Linked DNA regions of Schizosaccharomyces pombe. The protein of the gene in region 3 interacts with the protein of the main gene of each other region in a biochemical or structural test. Each region holds a gene or a part of one and is shown on either strand. Other genes may lie near its edges.

Region 1 (3,944 bases), on a different chromosome or scaffold from region 3:
TTTTTGATGGTTGGAACCTGGTTCTGCCTTCGGTTGGTGCAGCCATCAAAATTGTTGTCCATGGGCAATTTGAGGAACCACAAAACAAACGACTTCTACGAAGTTTTGATCGAACTTTGCTGATTTTGCCGGGAGGTTCCACAGGCATATTGATTATAAATGATTTATTAGTCATTCGTTCATTTGCTGGATCGCTCGGGTGGCTACCTGGTCAAAGCAGTGTACGAACAAGCAATAATGCCATGTCTGCGTCTGCTTCAAAGCCTAGTGATATTGTACAGCCAAGACCGGAACAAGCAATGTTAGACACTAGACAACAAATTGTATTAAAAATTAAGGCGGAGACAGGTTTAAATGATTACTATGCTCACATGTGTTGTGAGCAAAATAATTGGGATTACAACAGCGCTCTAGCATCTTTTTTGGAATTAAAGTCGCGAAATGTTATACCAGCCGAAGCATTTTCATGAACTTCTAGTGACGTGTATAGATAGATATGGTTAAAAAATTACAAACTGGGGAAATGGAAACTTTTATTTAATAATGGTACATATTGATGAAATGAATAAGTTAGATTTATACATAGTCGTTCGTGATCATTCTATAAAAGTATTATGGCGGTAATTAAATATAAGAAAGAACAATGGTAAAAGTAAGAGCCAAATATCCTTTTAATCCAAAACAACACTAACTTGATCTTCATCTTCAAGTTCCGTGCTTTGCACTTGATCGTTGGGATCTAACCATTCACCTTCAAATTCTAATCTAATGCGTTCATGAAAACTAATCTTTACTTCAGTACAATATCTCTTAATCAAATCTTTAACAGTGAAATCGACGGGTATTGAGAGACGAAGATCCTCACTCTTACTCGAACGCAAAAGCAACGTTATAAGTTTACACGTTTGAGCAGTTGAATCTTCAGTTACCGAGGATAACTTTTCCACTTCCAATTCTTTTATTCTTTTGAGTGATATAAAATCCGAGTGACAGTAGGCATGCACAACCAAACGGGTATCGACTTTAAGCATACCAGCGCCCTTTGGGGTTCCATAATCCCATAATCTTTGATTTTGAAATACAAGAACAACGTTATCTACTTTTTTTCTTTCAGAGTACGCTATTCTGACACGACGAAACTGTTGGTTCGACTTAACTTTGAAAAATAACGGTGCCTCCCAGTCCCGGGGAAGAGAGATATTGCTGTTTGGAATTCTCTGTCCAATTACGGCTAACTGGAGAACGACGGAAATAACTGGTTCATTTGTTGAGAATTCCGATTTGGAGTGATACAGCGTTGAGTGGTCACTTTTTGAATGCTTTAAAAGGGGCACATCAGCCGAAGTATTGTCATCGTCTTCTTCAATTTCTCTCTTATGCGTGTGAATTTGTACATCCATATCACTTGATGATTTTTCAAACTCCTGAACTTGCCGATCAATTTCCTCTAACCTACGAGCAAAGTCATCGTCCAGCAGTGATGAAGTCGTAGAAAGCGCAGCCTCACTATTAATGCTGTTGTTTCGCAAGTTAGCGGCCGCCCTAGTATTATAAACTGGTGAAACCGGTTGTGTTACACAGGAGATAGCACTTTTGGGTGAGTGCCTACCTTCATTCAAACACGCATTAGGAGTAGTGTCTGAAACGTCTTGGTTGCCTTCATCAGCATCTAAAATAGTGGATTGACGAGATAAAGGTTCGGCACTTTTGTTTTCATTATGAGTTATATTTTTCTGTGCATTTATGTGTTCTAATGCTTGTTTATTGGTATCAAGTTCACTTTCCTCTTCTAGAATGTTGTAAGCAAGCTGACACTTTGCAATCGGAATTAAAACTTACCAGAATCTGAGGAAGAGGCTATTAATTGCTTGGCATAGTTTAATGGAGGCTTTTTAATAGGCTTTGAGAAGAATGCTAAGTCATCTTCATCTAGGTTGTCCATTTGGCGAGTTTTAGCAATTACGGTGGTTCCACAAAGCTTCTTATGGATTTAACGAGAATTTGTAGCGACACACCTTAAACTAGGTAATTTTTAGCTTAGTTTTGTTTTCACTCAAGTTTATTACAAATCGATTTTGAAAGTTATATAATAATTTTATAATTCAATTGAAAAAGTTCAATGAACATTCCTCCAACTCATCTTCGAAATGAAGTTTGTTTACTTACGCAAAACCCGATCTTGTCCACTTAGCAAACAGATTTAAGTCTATAGAATTTCATTTTTTAGGTTAAGTAATTTGAAAACTCTTTGCTTCTTGTACTGAGACATTAGGTTTGATGAATTTCAATGACATTGGCTCACCTTACGACGGCTACATTGCGTCCGTCCATTACTGCCATTCATAATTTGTTCTTCATTCGCTAAATAAATTTTATTTAGTTCAGATAAAACCAAATTGTTGTACTATTAGAGATACAATGAATAGGTTTAATCAGCCGATATTCCTATATTCAGTAGTAGACTATTCAGGTACAAGATATAATACTAAACAATAATATGTAAACAAAATCGAATATTATCAAGTTAGTCCCCGTTACTTTATATTGATCATTAGAAAAACTTTACACTATACTGTATTGGTAAGTGAGAGATAATTTTAAAAAATTGAAGAGTATCTTTTTAAGATTATATAATGAATTAAGCTATATGATCGCAATCAATAAGATTATGAAGTACGTTACACTATGCTAGATTTATGAAAGTGTTTACTACCAACACAAGCTTAGGTTTTGCAAGCACAAGAAGGGCAGTCACAGCTTAAGCAAACGGTAAGGATCACCACACTAAGAGTTCCGCCTTTACCAAGTCAAAATGCCTGCTCAGGGACACAGATTGTACGTTAAAGCTAAACATCTCTCTTTTCAAAGAAGCAAACATGTTATCCACCCAGGAACTTCTTTGGTAAAGATTGAGGGATGTGATTCTAAGGAAGAAGCCCAATTTTACCTAGGCAAGCGTATTTGCTTCGTCTACAAAAGCAACAAGCCCGTTCGTGGATCCAAGATTCGTGTCATTTGGGGGTAAGTTTATTTTTGTAATTAAATTCTTGCGTTTCTTTGGAGAATATGAAGAAACGTTAATGCTATATTTTCACGGTCGTTTTTTGTTGGCTAAACGAATACATTCAAAACCTTTACTAATTACGTTTTAGAACTGTTAGTCGTCCTCATGGAAATTCTGGTGTTGTTCGTGCTCGTTTCACCCATAATCTTCCTCCCAAGACCTTTGGTGCCTCTCTCCGTGTCATGCTTTATCCCTCCAATGTTTAAATAAAATATTTTTATGTTCACAACAATTCTTCTGCTTCTTAGATTTATTTTATTTAGGGAATCCCATTTTATCGAAAGCCTCGTTTGTTATACAAAGTAATCAATGCTTTTGGTATTATTTACTCACTAGGAATTTGTAATTGGTACATTAAAACACAATTATTAATTTAAGTTTAATCAATATTGATGTTAAATAACAAAAGCTGTAAATTTGTATAGGTAACTTTTGAGAATCGTTTCACGAAGTATCATTTCAGTCGTCTGTTCTTAGGGTGTTGATGGGCAACACTGCATCAATTACTTAGGTATTGTAAATTCACTAGTTTGGCGTCTAACCTTTAGTACTGAATACTACCTTGTTTATGCAGGTAGTTCGATCGAATACTGTCGAGCATGTTTATAATCGGCTGTCGATCATACAAATCAAAAGCAAATCAATTATTAACCCCAACTATAATTATTTAAAAATAGTATAAAATAATAGCAAAATTATTATCAACGAAACAAAATCATCAAGCATTCTTTGTGAGAAAAAAAGGAGCGCAAGAAATAGTCCTAAATTGTAAAGATAAAACACATAGACGCTATTCAATTTAAACTCTTCCAACCTTGAGCCAAAAACGACTGTTTATAAGGTCTAAAAGCTTTTGAATTGTCAAGATCATCACTTAATA
Region 2 (5,351 bases), on a different chromosome or scaffold from region 3:
ACCAGCATGTTGTCCTTCCTCGTACCAAATACGATGTTGCTATTGATGAAGAGTCTCCCAGACCCGGTCTTCAAACGTACGAGAAAATGATTGCTGGATGCTATTTGGGTGATATCTTGCGTCGTATTCTTCTTGACCTTTATGAACAGGGAGCTCTCTTTAACGGTCAGGACGTTACCAAGATTCGTGACCCCTTGGCCATGGATACCTCTGTGCTCAGCGCTATTGAAGTTGACCCCTTTGAGAACCTTGATGAAACTCAAACCCTATTTGAGGAAACCTATGGTCTCAAGACCACCGAAGAAGAGCGTCAATTCATTCGTCGTGCATGCGAATTGATTGGAACTCGTTCTGCCCGTCTTTCTGCGTGTGGTGTATGCGCCCTTGTTCGTAAAATGAATAAGCCATCTATGATTGTAGGTACTGATGGTAGTGTCTACAACTTATACCCTCGTTTTAAGGATCGTCTTGCTCAAGCATTTAAGGATATCCTTGGTGAGGAAATTGGCAGCAAAGTTGTTACCATCCCCGCCGAAGACGGTAGTGGCGTAGGTGCTGCATTGGTCAGTGCTCTTGAAGCCAAAGGCAAGGCCCTCACTTCTGATATTCTTGCCGAGCATCTTAAGAATTAAGTCCACTCATTGTTTTTAGGTTTTACGGATACTCATTTGATTTTGTGTCACTGAACTCCACGAAGTGTTCGACAAACTGTTTTATACTGCACTTTTTATTTGTTTCATACTCCATCTTTTTGCGTACAATTTGTTCCAGCAATTTTTATGGTTACACTTTTCTTTGTCTACTAATCACGTATCAGGGCGTTTTTACAAAAAGGTGCTCCACCTGATAAAATATTTTCTTTTTTGCTCTAGTGTTTCTGTGGATACGATATCTGCCTCTGATTGCTAGAATACTTTAAATAAAGGTTAGAGTTTTGTTATATTTTGTATGTTGAAGTGTAATAATAGCGGTATCTTTGTTGAAGATATCCGAGTTTAACAAGACAACTGGCTATACTATCTTGCGAAATATGCCTACTACGACAATAATGGTATCAACCCATAGCTACATAACATCGGGAGACTTTCAATGAGTTACACCCTCGTTTTCCAATTCGGAATGACAGTCCGAGTCCCGAAGTAGAGAGATTCATCGTGTTACGATTATTCGCTAACACCTGATAACATATTTTATCTCGCTGCTCGTGTTACATATCAGGAGTGCGGGTATGAGATTATGGGGATTTAATGGCTGTCAAGCAGGTTACCTGACGTTTGTTCTTATGTATTTGTTTACACATACACAACATTTGGCGTTGCTAGGGCAACAAATCAGACAAACTGCGGTGGATCGAATAGCTGAGATGTATGGACATGTAAACAAACATACAAGATGCAAAAATTTATGTGTTTTCATCTAGTTCAATGTTGTTAATGAAATGATTATTTGCTTTTATATAATTAATAGATTAAGAGGTGACATATTGTAGCTTGAAACGGCATTATCTACGCAACTAAACTATACAACAATAGTTGTCATGGCTGAGGTGTTGGCTAAGTATTACAGCTTACAGTTTAACTTTGCTTTAATCATGTATTTGTTTTTATTATTGTTTTCTGTTACTCGAATTTGTTGGTTGGTGTTTTATTGTTGTTGTTACCTTTGCTTTTTTTTCCTCTCGGAGGCAGAGCTGAGATTTCTCTCTACCCTCAACTATCTACAGCGCTTCAAGCTCTTCTCCTTTAGATCAAGTGTATTACATTGAAAATATTATTCTTAAGAATACCAAAGTTGTAAGTTTAAAAAGAACTTGATGCCTGTTAGTTTCGGGCATCCTTCTCTCCTCAAGTTGGATTCCTGTTGATGCTTCTCAAGTACTAACTGCTGGTTCAGTGATTTTTTGAAACGTCTATAATACAATTGCTTACGCTTTTTAAGGCAATTAATAGGATTCTTGAAGTTATTTGTTCAAGAAGCCTTTATATGGTAAAGTGGGGGGTTTATTACTTGTAACGAACTTTGAGTCTGAACTTTTGGGTATTCTGTTGTTTTCATATTAATCAACTGCTTTCTTTTAACTTTCTTTTTTCTTTCATTTTTTCTTTCAACGACAGTATCTTTTATATTCTATATTATAGTCGTGACCGTTGGTGCTCATCTATTTTTGTCTCATTAATCTCTTTTTTTTTATATACTTTTATTCGGTCTTCCCGTCGTGTGGAGTCTAAACTTACTTAAACTTCTTTCCGGTTTCTTTTGTAAAGGTTGGTTTTGTTTAATATTTGGCTATATTGCTTTCATCCTGTCTTTCTTTTAGTTTTCTTTTTGTCTCACTTTGGCATTAATATCTTAAACCGGTCTTTTGACTCTTCCCTAGGATTTTCCTTTATAATTTATCTTACTTGCTCTATTGATTTCTCATTCTGAAACTCAATCTTTTGCAGTCGTGTCGTCCCATTAGTTCTTTTTGCAGTGTACTTGGTTTAAATTAAATTTACCATTTTGTCTGCTTTTAATAATAGTTAAACCTCAACTAAAATGGATTCTCCGCTTTCTTCACTTTCCTTTACCAACACTCTATCTGGCAAACGGAATGTATTGCGTCCTGCTGCCCGTGAATTAAAGTTGATGTCGGATCGCAATGCAAATCAAGAGCTGGATTTTTTCTTCCCGAAATCCAAACACATTGCCTCAACATTAGTGGATCCTTTTGGAAAAACTTGTTCGACAGCTTCACCTGCATCTTCCTTAGCTGCTGATATGTCAATGAACATGCATATCGATGAAAGCCCTGCCTTACCGACTCCTCGTCGTACGCTCTTTCGATCTCTTTCTTGTACTGTAGAAACCCCTCTCGCTAACAAGACTATTGTTTCACCTCTCCCGGAGTCACCCTCGAATGACGCTTTAACCGAGTCCTACTTCTTCCGGCAACCTGCATCGAAGTATTCCATTACCCAAGATTCCCCACGTGTTTCCAGCACTATTGCTTACAGCTTTAAGCCTAAAGCATCAATCGCATTAAACACCACCAAAAGCGAAGCTACTCGTTCGTCATTATCGAGTTCTTCTTTTGATTCCTACCTTCGTCCTAACGTCTCACGTTCTCGATCATCAGGCAACGCACCCCCATTTTTGCGATCCAGATCGAGTTCCTCATATTCCATTAACAAAAAGAAGGGAACTTCTGGTGGACAAGCTACCCGCCATTTGACTTATGCCTTATCCCGTACCTGTAGTCAGTCGAGCAACACGACCAGCTTACTTGAAAGTTGTCTTACTGATGATACGGATGATTTCGAATTAATGTCTGATCATGAGGATACATTTACGATGGGCAAGGTTGCTGATTTACCAGAAAGCTCTGTTGAACTTGTTGAAGACGCTGCCTCTATTCAACGTCCCAACAGTGATTTTGGTGCTTGCAATGATAATTCTTTAGATGATCTTTTTCAAGCTTCACCCATTAAACCTATTGATATGTTACCCAAGATAAATAAAGATATTGCCTTTCCTAGCTTGAAAGTTAGGTCCCCTTCTCCGATGGCATTCGCTATGCAAGAAGATGCGGAATATGATGAGCAAGATACACCAGTGCTTCGTCGTACCCAAAGCATGTTTCTCAATTCCACAAGACTAGGGCTTTTCAAAAGCCAAGATCTTGTGTGCGTTACGCCAAAACAATCGACCAAAGAAAGTGAGCGCTTCATCTCTTCTCATGTCGAGGATTTATCTCTTCCTTGCTTCGCCGTGAAGGAGGACTCATTGAAACGAATTACCCAAGAAACATTGCTCGGTCTATTAGATGGTAAATTTAAGGATATTTTTGACAAATGCATCATTATTGATTGCCGTTTTGAATATGAATACCTTGGGGGCCATATTAGCACTGCTGTGAATTTAAATACGAAACAAGCTATTGTGGATGCCTTTTTAAGTAAACCTCTTACTCATCGGGTTGCACTTGTTTTTCATTGTGAACATAGTGCGCACAGAGCACCTCATTTGGCATTGCACTTTCGAAATACCGACAGACGAATGAATAGTCATCGTTATCCTTTCCTTTACTATCCCGAGGTTTATATACTTCATGGTGGTTACAAGTCGTTTTACGAAAACCACAAAAACCGTTGTGACCCAATTAACTACGTTCCGATGAACGATGCTTCGCATGTTATGACCTGCACCAAGGCTATGAATAATTTCAAACGAAACGCTACTTTTATGCGTACTAAAAGTTATACTTTTGGCCAAAGTGTGTTAGCTTCCCCAGACGTTAATGATTCTCCTACTGCCATGCATTCCCTCTCTACACTTAGAAGATTTTAATGATTTTAGGCTGACTCAATACTTTACCTAGCCTGAAGTATACTCTTATATATTCAACTTTCTAAACCTAAGTTTTTTCTATAAACTTTGAATCATGAAACCTTTTATTTCTATTTTTTATTATTATTATTGAAAGAAAGCAATATACCTTTTAAAAGGTCTCGACAACAAAAAATTTAAACTGGCTAAACTTTTCGAAGTACATCACTTTTACGACTAAATATCTAGAACGACTAGTTTGGTTATTATTATTACGCATGGATTTTGGTTTAATAATTGATTATTTTATAATCAATTGAGCTTAATAATTTCTAAGCAATCACGGGTAAACATACGTACCGAAGTCCATTCTAATTGCTCTTCTCGCAATTGCTGTTGATAGGAATGCTAAGAATTTAGCATTCTTTGATTGAAGCAGTAATGCGATAGGAACTGAGTTGCTTACGTTTTTGTAACTCTACCTAACCATCTCTGATGGAAATATTTAAGTAGAAAACGAATAAAACTTTTATTTTTAAATCACTTCCTTTTATGCATGTTCTGTAAGCGGTAGTATTGTAGCTTACCCTTTCCAATGGAAGGTTAAGTTCACCAGAGAGTTACGAAGTTTTATGTGATATAAAATAGTTACAATGCGGAAGTTGGACATTCACACTTAAGTACCTTCCCAAAAAAAAAATTACGAAAATTTTTAATCAATACTACTTTTTTGGTAAAAATTTAAACATGTTCCGTTGAGAAAGTGAATCATATGTGTGCTTTTTTAAAATTTGAAGATATTTGTAGATTTTGTTTTGTTTACTTTTTATTTGCAACAATCAGAATGTCGTCATCTAAGTCAACCTTAAATTCGCTTATATGAATTTTATTGATTATGACATCAACGCCCTATGAAGTGCAGCTTTGAACGCCAACGATTGTATTTAATACATTGTAGGATAAACCTCGTAATCATAAATAACGAATTGTTTAAGTATGAAAGTTTGCAGAGCACTTAATGTTCAAACAAACAAATCTTTTTA
Region 3 (5,160 bases):
CCAACGAAACTAACAAAAAAAATTTAATTATTCTTTGACATAAATATAAGTCACGCATTGTAGCAAAGATTGATTAATACAAGTTCAATACCCAAGTATACAGACAATGAAAGAAGGAACGCAATCGATTTCTTATTTAAAACCCAGAAATCTAAGCGAGAACCTCTACATTAATCATTATTGTAGTGTTCAGCTATTTGTATGCGCATGAAAAGATTTAATTTCTCATTTCAAATCATGATAAAACATATACTCGTGAATTTATATAGAAAGCTCGAGGCAAGATATTGAGATAAGTTATGAAAATGATCTAATTATAAGCAAAAACATTAAGACTATTGGCTTAAATAACAAACGAGGAAATTAAAGAATATGGAAAAAAGGATTATATATGTTTTCTGAATTCAGATACCTTTTTCTTCTGCGAGACAAAGGCAATAACTTGTAAAGTTATTTGCAATGGCGGTAGAATTAAACATAGTAAGGTAAAAAAATAGGAAGGTGTGATTAAAGGTAGGACATTATGTATGTTTTCATATAAGGTCTCAAGATCCGAATTATTTTCTATTACAATGTCCGCAAGCTGACACTTAAGTTCAAGAGGCATCTGCGCTTGTACTCGGTTTTCAGCATCCTCTGCAGTAAGCTCAGGATTACGTGCCAGCAAACGTTGCTTTTGAATGCTTTTATCGCAAGACACGCAGATCGTTTTCCAGCAAATAAATTGCATTTTAGCTTCAAAAAGCAAAGGAACGTCCAAAATAACTATGCTGTAACCCCGTACGTAACATCGAAGCAGTTCTTTGAGCATTTCCAAACGTACTGCTGGATGTATTATTGAATTCAAAAGTGACCTCTTTCCTGCGTCTTGAAATACTGCCTGGCCAAGCTTTGCTCGATTCAAAGTGCCATCTTCATGTAATACTTCATTACCGAACTCTTTCTGAATTTTTATTAAGCAAGGTGTATTCGGTTCTACCACCTTTCTAGCTAACACATCAGCATCGATAATTTTTATATGATATTTCTCTTGAAACTCGCGAGAAACTGTAGATTTCCCTTAACTAGGTTAACCACTATTAAACCAATTGTTATTTGATAACTTACCCGTGGCAATTGAGCCGGTTAAACCAAGAATCAGCATTATATTTCTTATTCCTTGCTTTGGTATAGAAGATTTTTGAATAATGGTAACAATTAAGGAGATCAGAAAACTATTTAATGCCGTAGAACAAAGTCTTCAATCGCGGAAGTCGAAGTTTGAAATACAAAGGAATGTTGACAGATGGCAACCTTCACGTATACCAAAAAAATATAAATAGGGATTACTACTACTTAACAATTAACATTTAATCCTCACTACGTATAACGTACAGTAAAGTAGGTGGATGAAACATTGTTTATATTACTCGTGCTTCGCGAAAAATCTGGTATTGCAACAGTTCGTTATTATTGTCTTATGATACATTTTATATCGTAAAATTTATAACGATGTTTAAAGCGAAGTCAGTAAATCATAAGCCCTCGTCTGACATGATAACTGCTTCTTTGGTCTTTTTACTTCTGTTAAAAGCTTGATCACTCATTTGCACGTTTATTTGTGTTTACTGATATACATGGTTAAAGAATTCATCCAGTTTTTCTGTTTTTAAGATACTATGGAAGAACCAGAAGAAGCTACGCAGGCTACTCAAGAGGCACCACTACATGTTAGTCAGAACATAGCCAAACAGGTGGTTAACAACGAAAATGTATTTATGAAATTGGTTATGACTCGCATGCTTGATGGTAAGACAGAAGTGATTCCTCTTACTACAGATGTGCACAATGGGTTTTGGAGATTTGGACGTCATAAATCTTGTGAAGTGGTTTTAAACGGACCTAGAGTTAGCAACTTTCATTTTGAAATCTATCAGGTATATAAAATAATAGTGGCCAGCTGAACTCGTTTAGTTTTAATTGAACTTCAATCTCTTTAAGACATAATTATCTAACGAAATGACCCAGGGGCATAGAAATGATTCCGATGAATCTGAGAATGTCGTTTTTTTACACGGTAAGTCTAAAGGATTAAAAAATCTTTTAAAGTCTTCTGCCTCTTCCACCTTTTCTAACAATTTCAGACCACTCTTCTAATGGAACATTTCTGAATTTTGTAAGCGAGAGCTTAATTCGTTTACAATTTACTGACGTCATTTAGGAACGGCTTGCCAAGAATAGTAGAACTATCTTGTCAAACGGAGATGAAATTCGAATTGGCCTAGGTGTGCCGAAAGATGAAATTTGTACGTCCTTTACACTGAAGGAGATTGTTGACGTAGAATTCACTTCAAGTTTGCTTACAGTCTTATAGCTTTTTTGTGCCAGGTACCAGTTAAACATTCACGAGATTCCCAGAAAAACATGATTAAATCCGAGAACAGTCATTACGAAATTATTCGTACACTTGGAAGTGGTACATTTGCAGTTGTCAAGCTAGCGGTAGAAGTGAATAGTGGCAAGTGGTATGCTATTAAAATTATCAACAAACGAAAAATCCTTTTGACAAGTTCGGAAAAGCGAGCTACTGAAATGTTTCAACGAGAAATTGATATATTAAAATCTTTGCACCATGTGAGTATCATTTTATGTTCACCTTTTTTTATACGAAAAACTCCTAGCTAACACTTATCTTTTAGCCAGGAGTTGTACAATGCCATGAAATTTTTGAAAATGATGACGAGTTATTTATTGTTATGGAATATGTTGAGGGTGGGGATCTTATGGATTTTTTAATTGCTAATGGCTCCATCGACGAACAAGACTGTAAACCTCTTCTCAAACAACTTTTAGAAACGCTTTTACATTTGCACAAGCAGGGTGTGACACATAGAGACATAAAACCCGAGGTATATCTTGTTTATTGATAAGAAAGTCTAACTTGTAGAACATTCTTATAACAAATGATTTCCATCTTAAAATATCTGATTTTGGCTTGGCTAAAGTTATTCATGGGACGGGAACCTTTTTAGAAACATTTTGCGGGACAATGGGTTATCTAGCACCGGAAGTTTTGAAGTCAAAAAACGTCAACTTGGACGGAGGTTATGATGATAAAGTTGATATATGGAGTTTGGGATGTGTTTTATATGTGATGTAAGTTTGTCGGCTTTAATCAATTAGCAATGAACCTTCATGCCTTAATTTTTTCCAATTACTAATTCACAGGCTTACTGCGTCTATTCCTTTTGCATCTTCGTCACAAGCAAAATGTATTGAGTTGATATCAAAAGGTGCATATCCGATAGAGCCTTTATTAGAAAACGAAATTTCAGAAGAGGGAATCGATTTAATCAACAGGATGCTTGAAATTAATCCAGAGAAAAGAATATCTGAAAGTGAAGCTCTCCAGCATCCTTGGTTTTACACTGTGAGCACACACGAACATCGTACTCCACCATCATCGTCTGAACATGAGGCCACCGAACAGCTCAATTCTTCGAGTTAGATTATTAATATTTAGTATTCTAAATGATAATTAATTTTTATACTTAGACCGTCAAATTTATAATATTGTAAATAGACAGTAAGTTTACACTAACCACTCTGTCCACGTACTACTATCCCTTTGGACGTCTCGACGCGATCTTTGCCATGTGTGCTTCAGTTACAGAATCGCTTGTATGTTAATGATTTATAAAAACTAGAGCATAAAATACTAAAACTTTCTTTTTTCTTTTTAGCCAAAGTTTCCCGAATTGAAAACTCGAGATTTACAAGGGCAACAGGGACCTATACGTTCCCTAGGCTGGAATCTTTCCGGCTCGAGACTTGCGAGTTCTTCATCTTCAGGATCAGTACTTGTTTGGAATTCAGATCGTTTGGATTTTAAATTTACTACTGAATTAGGGAACAGAGGATATGGTCTTGTCGAACAACTAGTATGGGATCCTACGCATTCTGATCGGTTAATGGCTGTGTATGCTGGGAAAATGATCCGTTTCTGGGACTTTAGAAGTATGCAATGAAGTCTTTGACTGTTTGTTAACTATTTATTCAGGCGCCAAACCTATCGCTGAAATAGAAAGCAACTATGAGAATATTTATGCAACCTGGAGTCCAAGTGGAAATTACTGCTGTGCTAGTAGTCGGGTACGAGAATATTTTAAGTTTTTATAACGCACGATTGCTAATTGAATGCTAGGATGATATGTTGTCTTTTATTGATGCTCGGGAAAGAAGAATAATGGAGACATTCCAACAACCTTGTGAGGTTTGTTTTTAAACCAATAATAACTTTGCTTACGATTAATAGACAAATGAATGCTGTTGGTCATTCAGTGAAGATTTGTTTTTCATGACTACAGGACTTGGCACGGTGCAAATTATGGAATGGCCTTCTCTAAAAAGAGTTTACGATATAAAGGCGCATAACTCAAATTGTTTCTGTATTGAATTCAGTCCGGATAACAGGCACCTTGCCATTGGTGGTGCAGATGCAATTACTAGTTTATGGGATCCACAAGAACTGATTTGTGAACGGTCGATTACTAGAATGGAGTATGTAGTTTCTTTTAAATTTTTTGGTCGCTAACTTCTAAAAAGTTATCCCATCCGTACATTAAGCTTTAGTTATGACAGTCGCTATTTAGCTAGTGGATCAGAGGACCGCTATGTGGATATCGTAAGTATTTCAGGATGTTTGAAACCGTTTCTTATTTTTATTCTTTTTAATAAACTAACTTGGAAGGCTGATACGAAAACTGGTGATCAAATTTGGAAAATTCCAACTAATGGACCTCTGAACAAGGTAGCTTGGCATCCAACAAAACATATTTTAGCATATGCTGTATCGGAGCCTAATTCTAGTGGTCTTAAGATATTTGGGCTATAAATGATTGAAAATTGGCAATCTTGTTCACGCTGATCAACAATAAAAAAACGGCTACTTAGTATTTACCCTATACTCTTAGCATGGATACCTTCAATATTCATTGAAGTTGTAGTTTTAGCTTATTTGGTACCAAAAGTTTTGAAGAATGGAAGAGAAAAATACTGTTTCTTTATCTAAGCATATTGAACGTCCAGTAGAAGTTGTTGAAAGTCATTCTACGTACATTTTAAGTGCACAAGGACTTTATCTTACAGAACGCGTTTTAAGAAGTTATTTTAAACAACCTG

The links. Proteins that work in one complex are often made in the same cells at the same time.
Region 1: of the proteins of cds1 (region 3) and rad60, one has a biochemical effect on the other in vitro, tested with the Schizosaccharomyces pombe proteins (2 studies listed by BioGRID, with this or other methods).
Region 2: of the proteins of cds1 (region 3) and cdc25, one has a biochemical effect on the other in vitro, tested with the Schizosaccharomyces pombe proteins (3 studies listed by BioGRID).

Annotation. Positions count from the first base shown.
Region 1 is NC_003423.3:2,404,830-2,408,773, reverse strand, and holds rad60 (DNA repair protein, SUMO-related Rad60), read right to left. Parts: upstream 1,955-3,944; 5' UTR 1,943-1,954; coding exon 1,840-1,942; exon of another isoform or gene 1,790-1,839; coding exon 672-1,789; 3' UTR 501-671; downstream 1-500. Other genes in the region: nucleoporin Mex67, read left to right, coding at 1-470; rpl35A02 (60S ribosomal protein eL33), read left to right, coding at 2,813-3,021, 3,153-3,270; toc1 (Tor complex Tor2-interacting protein 1), read right to left, coding at 3,859-3,944. UniProt on the Schizosaccharomyces pombe protein: Required for repair of DNA double strand breaks which occur during replication, or induced by UV or gamma radiation, via recombination between sister chromatids. This has a subsequent role in the maintenance of chromosome structure.
Region 2 is NC_003424.3:478,728-484,078, reverse strand, and holds cdc25 (protein tyrosine phosphatase (M phase inducer) Cdc25), read left to right. Parts: upstream 1-1,705; 5' UTR 1,706-1,793; exon of another isoform or gene 1,794-1,893; 5' UTR 1,894-2,538; coding exon 2,539-4,329; 3' UTR 4,330-4,851; downstream 4,852-5,351. Other genes in the region: hxk1 (hexokinase 1), read left to right, coding at 1-632.
Region 3 is NC_003421.2:737,729-742,888, reverse strand, and holds cds1 (replication checkpoint kinase cds1), read left to right. Parts: upstream 1-1,550; 5' UTR 1,551-1,658; coding exon 1,659-1,916; exon of another isoform or gene 1,917-2,007; coding exon 2,008-2,056; exon of another isoform or gene 2,057-2,123; coding exon 2,124-2,155; exon of another isoform or gene 2,156-2,200; coding exon 2,201-2,285; exon of another isoform or gene 2,286-2,353; coding exon 2,354-2,613; intron 2,614-2,678; coding exon 2,679-2,888; intron 2,889-2,926; coding exon 2,927-3,135; exon of another isoform or gene 3,136-3,207; coding exon 3,208-3,487; 3' UTR 3,488-3,528; downstream 3,529-5,160. Other genes in the region: cab5 (dephospho-CoA kinase), read right to left, coding at 386-1,059, 1,108-1,144; THO complex subunit Tho3, read left to right, coding at 3,634-3,660, 3,723-3,996, 4,040-4,131, 4,184-4,252, 4,295-4,539, 4,585-4,663, 4,730-4,873; protein Thc1, read left to right, coding at 5,019-5,160. UniProt on the Schizosaccharomyces pombe protein: Has a role in the DNA replication-monitoring S/G2 checkpoint system. It is responsible for blocking mitosis in the S phase.